Linked DNA regions of Bombyx mori. The main gene of each other region encodes a partner of the protein of the gene in region 5 in a complex. Links are inferred from orthologs where the notes say so. Each region holds a gene or a part of one and is shown on either strand. Other genes may lie near its edges.

What was found.
Region 1: U4/U6 small nuclear ribonucleoprotein Prp4 (region 5) and U6 snRNA-associated Sm-like protein LSm4 share a complex: the UniProt entries of both Homo sapiens proteins name them as parts of the precatalytic spliceosome. The link is inferred for Bombyx mori from reciprocal best matches to the Homo sapiens genes PRPF4 and LSM4.
Region 2: U4/U6 small nuclear ribonucleoprotein Prp4 (region 5) and small nuclear ribonucleoprotein G share a complex: the UniProt entries of both Homo sapiens proteins name them as parts of the U4/U6-U5 tri-snRNP complex. The link is inferred for Bombyx mori from reciprocal best matches to the Homo sapiens genes PRPF4 and SNRPG.
Region 3: U4/U6 small nuclear ribonucleoprotein Prp4 (region 5) and U6 snRNA-associated Sm-like protein LSm2 share a complex: the UniProt entries of both Homo sapiens proteins name them as parts of the precatalytic spliceosome. The link is inferred for Bombyx mori from reciprocal best matches to the Homo sapiens genes PRPF4 and LSM2.
Region 4: U4/U6 small nuclear ribonucleoprotein Prp4 (region 5) and U5 small nuclear ribonucleoprotein 200 kDa helicase share a complex: the UniProt entries of both Homo sapiens proteins name them as parts of the U4/U6-U5 tri-snRNP complex. The link is inferred for Bombyx mori from reciprocal best matches to the Homo sapiens genes PRPF4 and SNRNP200.

The regions. Positions count from the first base shown.
Region 1 is NC_085117.1:3,992,249-3,994,793, reverse strand, and holds U6 snRNA-associated Sm-like protein LSm4, read right to left. Parts: upstream 1,327-2,545; 5' UTR 960-1,326; coding exon 540-959; 3' UTR 501-539; downstream 1-500. UniProt on the Homo sapiens protein: Plays a role in pre-mRNA splicing as component of the U4/U6-U5 tri-snRNP complex that is involved in spliceosome assembly, and as component of the precatalytic spliceosome (spliceosome B complex).
Region 2 is NC_085133.1:8,591,043-8,595,143, forward strand, and holds the start of small nuclear ribonucleoprotein G, read right to left. Parts: upstream 2,801-4,101; 5' UTR 2,653-2,800; intron 2,379-2,652; exon of another isoform or gene 1,995-2,378; coding exon of another isoform or gene 1-1,994. Other genes in the region: uncharacterized protein LOC134201547, read left to right, coding at 1-1,994. UniProt on the Homo sapiens protein: Plays a role in pre-mRNA splicing as a core component of the spliceosomal U1, U2, U4 and U5 small nuclear ribonucleoproteins (snRNPs), the building blocks of the spliceosome.
Region 3 is NC_085129.1:20,029,942-20,032,275, forward strand, and holds U6 snRNA-associated Sm-like protein LSm2, read right to left. Parts: upstream 942-2,334; 5' UTR 869-941; coding exon 581-868; 3' UTR 501-580; downstream 1-500. Other genes in the region: protein suppressor of forked, read left to right, coding at 1,770-1,799. UniProt on the Homo sapiens protein: Plays a role in pre-mRNA splicing as component of the U4/U6-U5 tri-snRNP complex that is involved in spliceosome assembly, and as component of the precatalytic spliceosome (spliceosome B complex).
Region 4 is NC_085130.1:11,180,194-11,184,313, forward strand, and holds the start of U5 small nuclear ribonucleoprotein 200 kDa helicase, read left to right. Parts: upstream 1-1,320; 5' UTR 1,321-1,573; coding exon 1,574-1,618; intron 1,619-2,022; coding exon 2,023-2,186; intron 2,187-2,640; coding exon 2,641-2,839; intron 2,840-3,109; coding exon 3,110-3,221; intron 3,222-3,612; coding exon 3,613-3,740; intron 3,741-4,120. UniProt on the Homo sapiens protein: Catalyzes the ATP-dependent unwinding of U4/U6 RNA duplices, an essential step in the assembly of a catalytically active spliceosome. Plays a role in pre-mRNA splicing as a core component of precatalytic, catalytic and postcatalytic spliceosomal complexes.
Region 5 is NC_085130.1:18,536,635-18,540,134, forward strand, and holds part of U4/U6 small nuclear ribonucleoprotein Prp4, read right to left. Parts: exon of another isoform or gene 3,131-3,500; coding exon 3,001-3,130; exon of another isoform or gene 2,423-3,000; coding exon 2,304-2,422; exon of another isoform or gene 1,678-2,303; coding exon 1,547-1,677; exon of another isoform or gene 1,538-1,546; coding exon of another isoform or gene 1,533-1,537; intron 211-1,532; coding exon 126-210; intron 1-125. UniProt on the Homo sapiens protein: Plays a role in pre-mRNA splicing as component of the U4/U6-U5 tri-snRNP complex that is involved in spliceosome assembly, and as component of the precatalytic spliceosome (spliceosome B complex).

The DNA.
Region 1 (2,545 bases), on a different chromosome or scaffold from region 5:
CTCTATCTGTATCAAGTTTCAAGGATCATCATTAAAATATTGCTTTTACACTGTTTTTTTTTACTCTGTTTTTTACCATTTCATTAATGGGTATTGCCATATTATACAATAGTATTATTACTTTAAGCGTTTTTTGTAAATAAATGATTTCAGTATACTTTGATTTTTTTTATATATTGACACGAATTGAATAGTGTGAAAACCAATTAAAGATATAAAACAAAAAAATGTATTTTCTTAAAATATCAAGAAATAATAAAGTTGTATCCCATTTTAGATTTAACAGAGATATGGGTAGCTTAAATATTTTATATTAATGGATTGATGAATTCATAACTACCTGTGCATCTGCAGTTTCCAAATTATTTAGATATTATTGATTTTCAATGAATTCTACATCAGGATTATGACTAATAAATAATCTTGGATTTGGTCAAATATATGGTTGCTTTGCACCAGCATGTATGGAGGAATTTTGAACTTTAAATGAAACAAAACTATTCCTTAGCCAAATAACTTAATTTATTAAAAAACTTATCTTACATTTTATTTTTATTTTTGTTCTGTGGTCGCGGGTTCCCGCCGCCACGGGCTAGTGGAGGTGCTCTGCCGCGGTTACCGAATGCGCCTCGGCTACCACCACGGCCACCGGTCCTCATGTTTTGCCCGCGTCCCTTGGAAACCTCGTTACGACCGCGCGCTTTAACCTGTGTCTCCTCCTTCACCATGTCGATGACCTCGTCCGGTATTCTCAAGTATTTGATCGTACTACCACGTATATAACATTCCGGCATCCTCCAGAACTTGTCGCCGTCTCTCGACGTGCAAATAACTTCACGTAAATTAATGTTCATCCAATTATCGCAGCTTACGAGATGACCATTGTAAGTTTCGCCATTTTTCAATTCGACAAGCATAGGGTGGTTCTGCGCTGTCCGTAACAAAGATAGCGGCAACATTTTGATGTAATGATCAACTTCGTTTTGAAGTTTATTATTTATTTGTATTAGAAGTTTATTTTCCTACTTTCGCGTTGTTTGGTGTATTGTCAACTTCTTGTTTTTTTAGGTTACTTTAGGACTTTAGGTTGACACTGACAGTGCTCAGTTGTCAGAAGACGCACAGATAATACACTTAATATTTGAGAAGAAGTGAAAATTGCTTCAATGGTAATGTAATGAAGTTTGTGAACAAGAATTTACAAGTAGACGAGTCCAACTGGAGAGTTAAGGGACAGTTCTAGTAGTAGTGAATCTTGTGATGATGATGAATAATAATAAAACAATTTACGTTGCACACCATTGTATTAGTAATAAATAATTAGAAATCTCATTCCTGGTTTCAATTTATTCTAAAGGTGAACCCGTCTACAAAAATTGCATTCAATAGGATAAATGATGAAAAAAAAGAACGTATCGAAACTGGTGTTGAAGGGTTTTGTTGCTGAACTTAATAGTTAAATGTAATGTAACTTTTTTTGTTTTAATTTGACCATACAGCTTACTGTCCATGCAACTATCAATTTCTAGTTCCATGAGAATAAATCTATGTTCGATAATCCAAAGTCAATGACTTTAGCATCCTTACTGTGAGCTGTCAAAATTATCATAAATTTTTACTTTTTGGCGGGAACGCGGGGAGTGAAGTTGTGTGATTTGTTTTATTTTGTCTATTTATTGTTTCTTCAGGTTTAACTGTATAATATCTGTGAAAGTGCACAAGTGTGGGAAATTGAAACAAATCCGCTAGACGTAGCTTGTTGGGATCGTCCAAAGAGCCAATTGAAAAGTCTTAGTAAATGTCCACCATTTTACTGAGATTATATTTCATCCTACATCATCTCATCTCATTTCATTTAATTTCATCTCACTTCATTTCATCTTCATTTCATTTCACTCTATATTATCATTTTTCGTAAAAATAAGAATTAAATAAATTAAAATAAGATTTGACCTAAAAGTTTTAGTTACTAGGTCATAAAATCCCTTAGAAAATATCCTAAATTTGAAAAAAAAAACAGAGTTCAATGCCTTTAATTTGTCGGTCAGCTGTCAATTGTCAATCCTGTGAAAAAAAATGTTTTCAATTGTTAGCCGGTCGGTAGAATAATTTTCATATTCACACGAAAATCAATTAAATAGGTAAAAAGATAATAAGTTCAAGCCCTTCAGTGAGAAATTAGGAATAGATTTCTTGTTTTGAGTCTAACGTAAGTTTGAAACTATTTCTGTACAATTATAATATTCCAAGGAGACCTCGTGTTCCAAATTTTAGTTTTTCTCTTTATTAATTAGTTAAGTTTATTAATTCTTGATTTAATTACGGTTAAAAATCGGTTACGGTTTTTGAAAATCAGATTCTTAATCGCTTATTACGATCAATTAGTTTAGTATATTTGATAAATAATACATTACCCAGTACCTACATTTTTTGAGTTTACACTTACACCTGTAAGCGTTACTTTTGTATCTTCAAATCTGGTCATCAGAGCGAGAAAAAGTATAATGGTAAAATACTATGACGTGATATTCAATAAAATAATTAA
Region 2 (4,101 bases), on a different chromosome or scaffold from region 5:
AACGCTGGACTATTAAAAATAAAATATCAGCATTAGCCATCTTCAAGCGTTCACCAAAAGCTTACCGATATCTGCGATATCTCGCACCATTTCCGAGTATCAAAACATTGCAAAAATTAATGAAAAAAATACCTGTTGAGCCAGGTTTAAATACAGCTGTACTTGACCACCTGAAAAAACTAGCTCCCATTAAAAAAATAAGAGCAAAATTATGTTCGCTAGTCTTTGATGAAATAGCGTTAAAAGAAAGGTTAACTTATAGCGAAGCCACAGATAAAGTGGAAGGGTTTATCGATTATGGATATGAGAGGAAAGATGAGCTAGCAAATCATGCCTTAGTCTTCATGTTACAAGGTATTGGGAGAAAAATTAAACAACCGCTGGCATTCTATTTCATAAGAGGCACAGTATCTTCAGAAAAATTAGCAGTTTTAATAAAAGATATAATTAAAGAAATTACTAACTCGGGATTTCAAGTTTTATCAACAATATGTGATCAAGCGCCCACCAATATGGGAGCATTAAGTCTGTTAAAGGAGTGGAACAATGGTGGACATAATTATTTTGAATTTGAAAATAAAAAAATTTATATAATTTATGATATTCCACATTTATTAAAATCACTGAGAAATAACTTTTTAAAACAAGGATTTCTGAAAATGGGAGAATTGAAAGGTCAATGGAGCCATTTAGTTGAGGTAGAGGAACGAAATAGAAATTTTTTATATCTTAGCAAACTCAAATCAACTCATGTACAACCAAAGTACAGAGCTAAAATGAAAGTTAAGTATGCCGCACAAATATTTAGCCAAACAGTGGCTGCTGTTCTTAAATTATTAGCTACGAATGTGGAAAATGTACACCGATCAGATGAAATATTACAGACTGCTTTGTTAATTGAAAAATTCAATAAACTTTTTGATTATACAAATGGGCCATCAGGACATGCTGACGTAAAAAAAGGTATACGGGAAAACGTATCTGCTAAAACTGACCATTTAGCTGTTTGGACAGAATATAGAAAGCAACTGTCTACTTTAACATTTTTCAACCATAATGGCGTGGAAGCAAAAAATGTAAAGTGTGTTCAAGGCTACATTATATCATTAAAATCGCTGCGTGATATTTGGCTGGAAGTTCAGGATTTAGGATATAAGTATTTGAATCTACGGCAGTTAAACCAGGATGCATTAGAAAATTTATTTGGGTTAATAAGACAGCATGGTCAAACAAACAAGCATCCGACGTGTTCTACATTTATAGCAGCTATGAAAACCTCTATAATATCAGGACTTACCGCCCCTCACAGCAAAAACTCCAATTGTGAAGAAGACAAAAAGGAACTCATGACGGATTTTCATGATTTAGTTTTTGGGTTTAAAGACGAAGATGATCAAGGTCAAGATATTAATGAGTCTCCTAGTCATGTTTCCACAGAAAATGAAAATGAGGAAGACAACCCGGTTCTCAGTATACCTGAAGAAGAAGAATATAAAGAAATAGTATGTGACCTAGCAAAAATTTCAAATCAACCAGTGGTCTATATAAGTGGATATCTAGCTTCTGTTATTCTAAAAAAAAATGATTGCCAGGTCTGTAGAGAAACTTTGACAGTTGCAGATCCAGAGGAAAATAAGATTTATGATTTAATTAAATTAAGGGAGTGGTGGCAAGATAAGAAATGTTTGACATATCCATCATTGCAGTTGTGTCAAACTGTACACACTGCGGTTACAAATTTTGAACAGTTTTGTATCCCTAACCTACATAATAACAATATTTGCCAGTGGACAATTACTATATTTTATTCAAATTGTAATACAGAGTGGCTATGCATTAATCATCGTCAACAAATGTCAGACTTATTGTTTACAAAATTGGCTCTAATGCTGATTCGGCGACAGTGCCAGATAATTAATTTAAAGCAAGTTTCAAAGGAAGAGGATTTGGCGGACGCGAACAAAAGGGGTCAACAATATGGTGTTTCAAGATAATTACATAATTAGTTTTTATTTGTTTTTTGTAGAAAGAAGTTAACTTCGGGTTTGAGTTCAAAAAAAGTATACATTTAGAGATTTAGAACTTTATTTTTTTACTATTATAAAATAGAAGTTTTTAAAAATTTACTCTTCAAATGGAAATAGAAACGAATTGTTTTTTATTTAGCACAAAAATTTTCAAAACCTAGTTCGTTATAACATTATAAAACAAGGTTGAAAACCTCTACATGTATACTTATTGTACCTTGCATAAAATTAAGTAAATATTGGTTTATATTGTAAAATAAAAATTAAACATTTCCGATACAAACTTAAAATTTTTTGTAAGCGTTAAAATTCTACTTACAAATTTCATTAAAATTATACTAAGTAATAAAACATTGTTTTATTTCTTTTAAAATAATAAAGTTTTTATTTCAATATGCAATCCTTGCCTGCATTCGATATCGACAAAAATATCGATAATATTCGCATCATTATTTATTGGACATCGATATTAATGCCCATCACTATTTTTGACAGTGGTAGGATTTTTGTAGTCTGTGGTTGTTTTAATGTTGTCACCAGATCGGATCTGATCCCATACATTTTCATTTTGTAACGTTTACTATGAAGTGCGGACTCTTATAACGTAGTGATTATATACTCTTTGGAATTTTGTCAATGAATTTAACTTTTCTACTATATTCTACCGTCTGAGACAGTGCTGCCACTTCCAAAATTAAATAAGAACCTTTGACACGGCGATATTACGATTATAATTTTGGAAATTATAGATCTTGGACATCAACAATATCAGAGGTACGTACGGTCAAGCTACTGCCTATTGCAGAGTTCTTCTTAAGCCTTGTCAGAAACTTGACAGCTTTGATCGAGCTACTTTTTCCCGGCCATAATAAATCTACGTTATTTATGGTAGTAATATGGTCCTCATAACTTGCTGAAAGAGATTTTAGCATGAGTTTTACGATCGGCCGTCTGTCTGACATGAATCTTTCTTGGGCTAGTAGTATATCCATGGCAGCGTACCATGGGAGGATACATTATAATTTAGATTTTTAAATACAAAATATCACGTTTTATGAAATTTTATGAATTTGCATAAGAATATCATAATGCATCATTCATACGAAACATAAAAACAGAAGCTTAAAAGGACACTCAGAACAAATAGAAAAAGAAGCATCTAGTGGGGTGCTAGATTGTTGGGGTGTTTGATGGTCTTTGGCAAAAATGTCTGAAAATATAATATTATAGATGATCACAATGGTTGCGTTTGTAAAGATAAACTCATCAAGCCTTCCAACGTAACTTCTGGCAGTAGCCAATAGAAAAAAACAAAAATAAGGCAATTACTGGCTGCTAGGGAAAATACATAAATAAATCTATTCTAGCACTGTACAGAATTCTAATGATTGTGAACTCAGGGTCTATCTGGTTGCTGCTCTAGTTGGTGGGTTCTGAATTCATAAATTTAACAAACGCTTTCGTGCACCGACTCTTAGAGTATCTAGGTTACCCCTTTGTTCAAAATGTTTTACTTCCATCCGTCCGTGCTACTTTATACAGTCCTAGATCACAAATAAACGCAGTTTATGGTATAACAATCCAAAAAAATATGAATCACTGTGGTTGTATTAATGTATACCATCATTTATAAGCTTAAGCTATTAGGCATGCCTAACCGCTAACCGCTTGCCAAAACCGAATTATAAAAAATATTAAAAACTCCGTAAAGTAAAAACAAGACCGAACCAACAGATAAAGTAAAAAGTTTTACAAAAAGACTGTTAATATACGTCTATACAGTATATCATACATTTTAATGTATTTAAGCATCGTACGAATGTCATCGATTTAAAATCGAAAAACATCGATCCATTAAACGAATTTAAGTAATTTTTTGCCAATTAATATTTAATAAAACTTAATAAAAATATTTATATCTGTGCTTCTATTTTATTAATAATGCACTGCAAGAAGCTACTTCAATGGTGGTGAAAACTCATATTTATTTCGTAATATGCAAACCTTTATTTTTATACTAACAAAAACATAAATATTGTAAGTTGGCAACTTGAAGTCAAATTTCGTTTAGAAA
Region 3 (2,334 bases), on a different chromosome or scaffold from region 5:
CTGGCTAAATTTGGTCTTGAATTATTCGTGAAGTCCAGAGAAGGTTTAAAAGGTTCAGGTTTCAGGAAGGTTCAGTGTTTGGCAAGCAACATATTTTAATGATGCTTTTACAATCCCTTCTGCCTATGGAAAACTATGACATGGCCATCTTCAGAAAAAGTATATCTTAAAAATCCAAAATAACAGCTTTGTAAATATTTACATCCAAATTATGTACACTAGAGATCTAAATCAATTCTGGTTTGAAAAAAGGCTTAAGTATTAAGGAATGCAGCTATGTCTAATAATTATCAGTATAGTTTGATGTGAAAGGTAATAAAAACTTTTTTCTGTGATACATTTTTGAGAATGGTAAAAATATAGATGTTTTTTATTGATAAATTATTCTTTCATACTCTGGTATAAAACTTACATAAAACTGAAGAACTAGGTTATTTTTCGATCAAAGGAAACTTTCTTTTCTGAAATGAATATCCGGAGACCGCTACTAAAACACTATATTATAAGAATGATTTATTAAGAAACTTAAGCTTATATTAATATGTACACTTTAAATTGAAGTTGTAGGTTAGGTTAAGTTCTATCTTGTTGAAACGGTCGCCTCCTTTCTAGCGGCATCCTGGAGAAGCTGGGTGTCTACCTCATCAGCCGGCAGTTGTACGTATCGAACCACGGAGCCTCTTATAAAACAATTTTTCACTGATAACATATGAGGATACTTTTCAGAGTCAATCACGCTTATATCCGAAAGCTTTATATTGAGATATTGATCCACAGAATGCAACGTCCCACATATGCTGAGGTCATTTTTCAGCTCGACGACTACATCCTTACCGACTAACGATTTGAAAAACGAGTAAAACAACATTTTTCGTTTTGTTTGTTTGAAAACGCGCTGAAACAGTAATTTGGCTTGGGTTCTTCAATTAATGTCATTTAAAACTCAAAGTCAAAATCATAAAATGTCAATGCCAATAGCTTTTTGTAGCGGTGTGAATCGGTATTTTCCGTAATTTTGTTAGTTTTGTGCAGGAGCACCATCTCATTTCCAATGTCTTGCATTTACTACGTTTTCGTTACCTGTGCTTAAATTTTTAAAACAAATCGGGACTTTTTGGCGGGAACGTAAGGAGTGAAGCTGTGTGATTTATTTTATTTTGTCTATTTAGTGTTTCTTCAGGCTTAAATGTAATAATGTAATCTAATTTAATGTGATAATGGTGGTTTATTGACTGTTTAATATCTGTGAAAGTGTACAAATGTGGGTAAATGAAATAAAGCCGCTGGACATAGCTTCTCGAGATCCTCCAAAAAGTCCACTGAAAAAATCTCAGTCAATGACCACCATTTTACTGAGAATATGTCATCTCATATCATCTCATCTCATCTAATTTAATTTAATTTCATCGCAGTTGATTAATATCTAAAATTAATCATCTTCATTTCATGTCATTTCACTACATAATTGTAACATTTTTCATAAAAATAAGAATATTAATTAAAATAAGACATGACTTAAAGATCTTAATTACCAGGTCATAAAATTCCTTAAAGCGAAATGTATAATCTATAGCGTCCGCTAATCCCGTTTGAGCTTGGTTGAGTTGTTTAATTTTTTAAAGAAAATTGTGTTTTTTTATTGTTTTAAATCGATTTTAACACTGAGAGTAATGTGTCCACAAACAATCAGTACCTCATTTACTTAGTTCTTCGAAAAACTGTTGCTCGGACTTAAAACCAGATAGATAACCTCAAACGTAAACTTCAAAATGGCATCTGTAGATGAAATCGCCGACATTGTGAGTTTTTACGCATTAGTCGCATTAATTGAATATAATTAAAAACTAAAAGAACAAAGGTTTTCTTTTTTGATTTGATATTCCTGAATGTTGTGTAATTCGTTTATATAAGTGCATGTATTAGCAATCGATTGTTGTGTAGTTCTAAACAAGATAGTCATTTAGAAAAAAAAAAGAGGATCCTTAGTTTTATAGATACCGAAAACACGAGAGAGTTGTGACTGCGCTCCAAAACCGGAAGCCATTAAGTAACATTGACTTCGACCTGTAGTAACGTAAACTAATAATCAACCACTAAACCAACATTACAAGCGATTACACTGGAACCAGCTGTCTGCTAAGATCATTACAATTTCTCAAGAAAAAACCAAATTGTAGTACCTAGATCCTATATAATTACTCTAATCCATATTTTAAAAACGCCAATTAGCTGTTTAGCCTCTTACTGGTGGTAGGACCTCTTGAGAGTCCGCGCGGGTAGCTACCACCACCCTGCTTATTTCTGCCGTGAAGCAGTAATGCGTTTCGGTTTGAA
Region 4 (4,120 bases), about 7.4 Mb from region 5:
ATTTTATTTATGTAACAATACGAACTTCATAATTATAACAGTTTTTATCCTTTAATTTCTAATTTGGTGTTGTCATTGTACTAGATTTTTATCTACGTTTGAGGCGAAGGGAAGATCTTCGGGAGGGAAGATATTGCTCGGTAGACAGGCGTTTTAATCGCCTATTCAAAGTCAAAATTAAATATATTAAATTCCTATACAGACTATACTAATGATGTGTTTTCGATCCTTGTATTAATAAATTCAATTTTTATCATTTCGAAAAAACAGACCTAATAAAGAATGAACGGGTTTGAGTTTAGAACAGTTTTTCATATTTAATTTTTTTGTTTTTAAATTGTCAGAAAAACTCAGGGTCATCGTTTACCTAATCATAAGGTAGAATCCGCTTGGAAAAGCAGTTGCAGTATTTACCCACAAACTTAATAAGTGTTACAAATCAGTTACTTGAACTTAGTATATCTTTGTGTGCATTTTTTCTTTTTGTAATATTCAGTACACGTATAAAGATATTTCATAAACCTAAAGAGACATGTGCACCGCAAAAGCATGATTCTTCCTTCATTCATTAATTCTTAAACCATTTTAATCTGTTACGTAATAATTTGAGAACAATGTAGTATAGTATGATTTGTTTTTAAAGTTCATTAAACTTTACGAATCATCACAACCCAAGGATGAATTTCCATTGACAGTTTTAGAAATAAGGAGATACCAACATTCAGAAGATAAATATTAATGGAAAAATTACTATAGACAATAAATATGTACGGTACTCTACTCATTACTCACTTTATAATCGCATGGTATTTGTAAAAATCTATGGTAGGTATAAAATTATATACAAAACAATTGAGTGACAGTTACTTAATTAACAAACATTTAATATTTGAATTGACCACCAGCTGATATCGATTCAATGTCTATCAAGCTAGTTTCGATTCCGGTAACGTTTTTTTTTTTAAGAGATTTTATGACCTGGTAACTAAGACCTTTAAGTCATGTCTTATTTTACTTTATTTTCTTAATTTTATGAAAAATGATAAAATGGAGTGAAATGAAATGAAGATGATTAATTTGAGACATTAATCAACTGGGATGAAATTTAATGAAATGAGATGATATGGGATGAAATATAATCGCAGTAAAATGGTGGTCATTTACTGAGATTTTTTCAATGGACTTTTTGGAGGAACCCGAGAAGTTACGTCCAGCAGCTTTGTTTCATTTTCCCACATTTGTGCACTTTCACAGATATTAAACAGTTAATAAACCACCATTATTACACATTTAAACCTGAAGAAACACTAAATAGACAAAATAAAACAAATCACACAACTTCACTCCTCGCGTTCCCGCCAAAAAGTCTCCGGTAACGTAATGAAAATCACAGCACAGATACACGAAATATTTACGAGCATAGAGCCATAGATTATACACATAAAGTAAAAATGGCTGCGGCGGTCTAACCTTAAACTGTGTTATTTTAAATTGTAATTTCGAATTTAAAATACCTTCCTGCATTTTTTGTCAAATAACAAGAGTAAAGCTACATTCTTGTATATAGTGAAGCATGGCTGACGCGGCTGCCAGACAGCTGCAGTATGAGTACAAGGCCGTAAGTGTCGTTCAAAATATATTTTTTTAAAATTGGAATGTTTGAGAACTTAGAATTGGAGAAACCCTACTAATTAAGCATTTGACCAGTCAATAATATATTGATTTTTTAGTATATTGTCAAAACTTGTAGCCTAAGACCAAAATTTCCATGCTTAAATAACAGCAAGTACTTGTGTTGTCACTATAACGCTGTAGACAATAACAAATAAATGCGACAAATGATAAAATGTAGGTTATGACGATACATAAAAATTCATACAATACATACGAATGATACATTCTAAACATGTCCTATAGTTCCCGAGCAATCAACTTTAAGAAAATACAGATTTAATTCCTTCAAATACTGTATGTATCTGAGATGTTGCACCATAAGTCTGAACCAACAATTTTTTCTCGCAGAACTCGAATCTTGTACTGCAAGCTGATGTAAGGTTAATAGAGAGACGTGGTCGAGATGAAGCGACCGGTGAAGTTTTGTCGCTGTCTGGAAAGCTCACAGGAACTAAGATGGGTGATCGAGCTCAACGCACTAAACCAGATAAAGCTGAGGAGAGAAAGGCTAAGTATGTTTCATTGAACGAAAGGGTCTTGTTGGGGCTCATTTTGTTTTAAAAGAATCCCTTCTATTTATTGCCTTCTGTTCTATTTACAGTTCATTTAACAGTAAATAGAATAGAAACTTATAATAAATACACTTGGTGGTAACGGTTATCGGCATCAATAGACGTCACATTATGTATGCCGCCTCCTACTTTAACATTAATATTTCTCAGTTAGGTTTCAATGAATTATATTTTTACAGCACAAATACATAGGATGGCAACACAGAATTATGAACAGAATAATTTGCATTTTGTCTTGAAAATGTGAAATTCTGCTGTAAAAGTCCATATTATTGGACTTAAATTCAGTATGTTTAATCAGTAACAGTGATGATAAGACTTAAATTTATATTCTAGATAATATCTGCATATCAATAAATTAAATAATGTGATTGCAATACCAATATTTTTATAGGCGTCAAAAACGTGATGAAGCCTCCTACGAACTCTCTAAATCAAAATCCAGTCGTGTGGCTTGGGCTGATGATGCTCCAGGCGTTCTATACCGTCCCAGAGCCCAACACACTAGACATACCTATGAACTACTGCTTGCGTTCATGCAGAGCTCTCTCGGAGACCAGCCAAGGGATATATTATGCGGCGCTTGTGATGAGGTGAGACAATATTATATATCCTCCTATATCATAGAAAATTGTAAACGATATGGATACTAATGTTATTATTTACTATAATATAATAATTGTAGTAGTAAAAAATATTGGGTAATGAAGACACCTCTCAATGACTCATAGATTAACTTCTTCCACCACCACGACTTTCGAACCTGAACTTATAATAGCTTTGCTCCTAAAGCGGGATAGTGACTCATACTCAGGAGGGTTCACAATATATCTTATCAGCAATAAACTAATTTACTATTACAGGTACTCTTAGTTCTAAAGAACGATAAATTGAAAGATCCAGAGAAGAAGAAGGAAATTGAGATGCTCCTCGGTTCCATACCAGACGAGAGATTTGCTTTACTTGTCAATTTAGGTAAGTACTATACTAAAAAGTGGACCTAGAATAGTCTTCTAGATATGGGGTAAAATGAAATTAGAAGTATTGACGAGATAATGTTTGTATTGGAGATGAATTTAAGGTAACAGTAGCTAGACTAGAAAGACTAAAGTTCCGTTTCTTCTAATGAATACTCGAAAAGGCTATTAACAGTGCTATAGTGATAAGGTTTAAACCTTAAAAGTTACGACAATGCTATAACATAGTTATCTTCTTTAAAAAGAAAAACATTAACAAACTGTACACAATAGTGAAGTGGTTCAAATGACTTCTACTCTATTTAATTATATTCACTGCTTACTAATTGTATTATTGAACTGTCCCATAATGCATCTCTGGTAATAAAACTAATTCCTAACCTTGACAGGCAAGAAAATAACAGACTTCAACATGACCACGGCAACAGAGAGCAACACCGAAATAGACGAGACATACGGCATCAATGTGCAGTTTGAAGAGTCCTCTGAGGAAGATGATGAAGATGCATATGGGGAGGTAATACTATTTAGATATATAATAGAAATTATATGCACTTGTATAACGTAGGAAGATTAAATTCTAAAATACTGTAGTTGACGCCACACACCCTTGTTTGGTGCTGCAGATTTGTTCTCATGTAGAATGCTGCTACGTAAGAGCCAGAACAGGAATGTTAACTTTTGTGACAGTTCTCCTGCACATGTGGACTTTTCCAGACATTATACAAGCAAAAAGTTGCCTTCAATACACTTTTAAAAGTGCACAATCCTGACTTTTTGTTAAAAGTGCATATAGTTTCTAAATTTTGTATTAATTAGAGTAATCAACTTGTGTATTTTAATGTCTTATTGGTGGTAGGACCTCATATGAGTCCGCACGGGTAGGTACCACCGCCC
Region 5 (3,500 bases):
GATCTACTTCAATTATCAGATGTACAAGAAAGAACGAGCTTATGTCTGGTTGTCGCAGGAGGTCAGACCCCCCTCCCCCCACCACAAACAGAACCCGGTCGATCCCCCCGGCCCCCCGCACTCACCCGGTGACGGCCAGGGACCCGTCGCACTGGAAAGCTATACTATAGACCGGCTTAGCGTGACCCTCCTGGTGCAATACTTCGGTCGCTATAAAAAACAAAAGCATTTTATAATTAGCTCCTTTGTTTAAGGGATTTTATGATCTGGTAACTAAGACCTTTAGGTCATGTCTTATTTTAATTGATATTCTTATTTTTATGAACATTTTTAAATGGAGTGAAATGAAATGAGATGATATGGGATGAAATATAAGCACAGCAAAATGGTGGTCATTTACTAAAAAAAATTCAGTGGACTTTTTGGAGGATCCCGAGAAGTTACGTCCAACAGGCTTTGTTTCATTTTCCCACATTTGTGCACTTTCACAGCTGATACTAAACAGTTAATAAACCACCGTTATCACACATTTAAATCTGAACAAACACTAAATAGACAAAATAAAACAAATCACACAACTTCACTCCTCGCGTTCCCGCCAAAAACCCATAGATAATAAAAACACTTAATTAGTTATAGATAAGCAACTCAAGCACTCGACAAAAATGTTTACGGGCGTCGGCCACTAGATGGCTTCGGCTCCATTAGTTTCTCATTGCTCCTGTAGATGGCAGTAACATACTACCTATCCTATATTTTATTTTTTATGAAGTATTTTGTAAATAAATCTATAACAAATAAAGACTTGTATGATTTACTATAATTTTTTATTTTCAATGTTTAGTTCTACAATAATTAAATGCCATATCTTTAACAACATACAAGTTTAGGGGCATCCGCTACAAGATGTCGTTAGTTTCCATACAAAAAAAAACCTCATATTTTTTTGATTGCCATAGCAAGCAGCACACGACCCACTTGGTGGTGAGTGGTCATTGTTTTCCATGGACAGCAGCAATGCTGGGAACACAGCCAAGTAACGCAGTATACAATTTTAACTCCCATTCAAATCATAGTTAAATTGTCTGGCAAGTTTATTAAAATGTATTAAGACTATATTTGTGTGTATCAGCTTAGATCAGCGGTCGGGGAACTTTTTTAATTATTACCCCAAAATATTTTTGTGTAAGTTGATATTACCCCATGGCGAGGAACAAAAAATAACGAAATGCCTTCTTTTTAGCATCTTTTATATTATAGCCCCCATGATAATTTGAAATCGCAACGATTCTAAAGAAGTTTCACTTCAATATATACTTTTTACTCACAAAAGTTTAATTTTTAACCCCCCAAATTTCATTTTACCCCATTCGGGGTAATTTACCCCGGTTCCCCGACCGCTGGCTTATATGGCTATGGAGGTTCATGGGACGCCAGTGGACGAAATTGGCCACACCCTGGGAACCTTCGAGACCAAATTAGAGTTACGTAAGAGTGGGATCCTCTCGTTAAACCAGCTGTAAAAATTACAGGATAGGATGCCTACCTGTCTCCAAGTCCCACAGCCTCCAGGAGTGATCGAAGACCGTCGTCGCGAGGAACCGCCCCGAGGGGTGGAACTCTGCCCGGGACACGCGGTGCGGACTGTGTCCCGGCAACGACGCCATGGGGGATTCGCTGGCGAACAAGCACTCATTATCACTCAATCCTGTCCCCCAGTGGAGGGAGCTTCGGGGACACTGATACGGTCGTCCTGTCACACCGGGACGTTTGATGGAACCTTGACGGAGTGAGGCATGACGGTGATTCCCCACAAGACACCTTATCACCAATCGAGGTGCTACCCAAATTCCGATTTCGGACAGAAAAATCATTGGCAAATATTATTTTTCTCCTACCGACGCCCAAAGTTCGGTTTTCCTCCCGCTGAACAGGAAAGAAAGTGTAAATTTTTCGCCCCTGGGTACTGACAAGTGCGCATGCGCGTTAGTGTCTACGTCTGCTCTCACGCACCTAAAGCTCTCCGCCATTGTTGGGCTCGGGTAATTTGCAATATTGTGTTTAGTGTAAAAGTGATATAAACAAAAGGCAATAAAATTTAATAGTGAATTATTAAAAAAAGATAAGTTCATCAGACAGTTCTTATTCAATTAGTAGTAGTTTATTTAAAAATTAAAAGCATTTAAATTGTTTTTTTTTTCCTAATATCGATGTTTTTAATGAGCGATGTTTCAGTCCGATAGCTTGGTAATCCTAGATATTTGGTATCAGAGGTTTGTCGGGGGGTCCGCAGCCGCACGTACCTCGCAAAGTTCCACAGGTGGACGGTACCGTCGTACGCGCACGAAGCCATCGTGCAAACGGCAGACTTGTCGTCGTCCGAGCCGTCCGCCTCCATCGCGTCCCCATTAGTTACGTTCACCTGCGAAGTTAACGTTTGCTGGATTTTTTTTTCTATTCACTTTTACCCGGCAAAGGGAACGAGGCCCGTACAGCCGTATCTGTTTCATGTCAAGCGCGATAAAGTTGGATGCCACCTATTATTAAAATGGTGAGAATTTATTGAGACTTTAATACTCTTCGGAGGAACCCCGTCAGTCAAGTCAGACCAGTTCACATCATGTCTCTCCACTCTTGTGAACTTTGCACAGATCCTAAACTAATGCTGCCTCTTCACAGACAGCCACTATCGCACCGCGTACGGAAACCCTAAGTTACCAAAATAAGCAATAAAATTCACATGACTTAGATTCGACATAATATAGTCGTTATTAATTCTTCAGTTTCACAGCTAAATTAGCAACACTCTATAACAGGCATCAAAAATTTCACTTGCATCGTCATTAACAATGTTATGACCAAAGTTCATTCATAGCGCTCTGCTTTCATTTTTATCGTCACAGAAGTTAAACTTCTGTCACGTATACTACACTCGTACTAAGGATAACTCCAATGACGTTTACCTTATCCAATCCAAGAGAAGTTAAACTTCCCACTCACCTTTTGCCGGAAATGCGAGGGCAGTTCCGCCTTCGGGTGGAAGGTCGCGCTGCTCACGTTGCAAGTGTGGCCCTTGAGCACCTGCAGGGGGGCGCAGTCCGGCACCGACCAGACCTTAACCAGCCCTGACCTGCAAGGGCAAAATACATGTCGAGGAAGGATGAAAGTTTGTTGCACATGAAAGGATGTTTGGTTTAAGTGACATTTTAGCAACTTTACAGGGGAGCCCTTTACTGGTGGTAGGACCTCTTGTAAGTCCCGCGCGGGTAGGTACTACCAAATAAATAGGCTAGCGTGGTGTGGACATGTGAGGCATGGAGAGAAGATGCATGTGACTAGGAGATGTATGGAAATGGTAGTGCAACGTAGAGGGGGAAGAGGTCGACCGAAGAAGACATGGATGGAGTGTGTGAATGACGATATGAGAGAGAGAGGAAACAGTGTTGAGATGACGGCTGATAGAAGAGAATGGAATAGGAAAATTCGCTGTGCCAACCCCA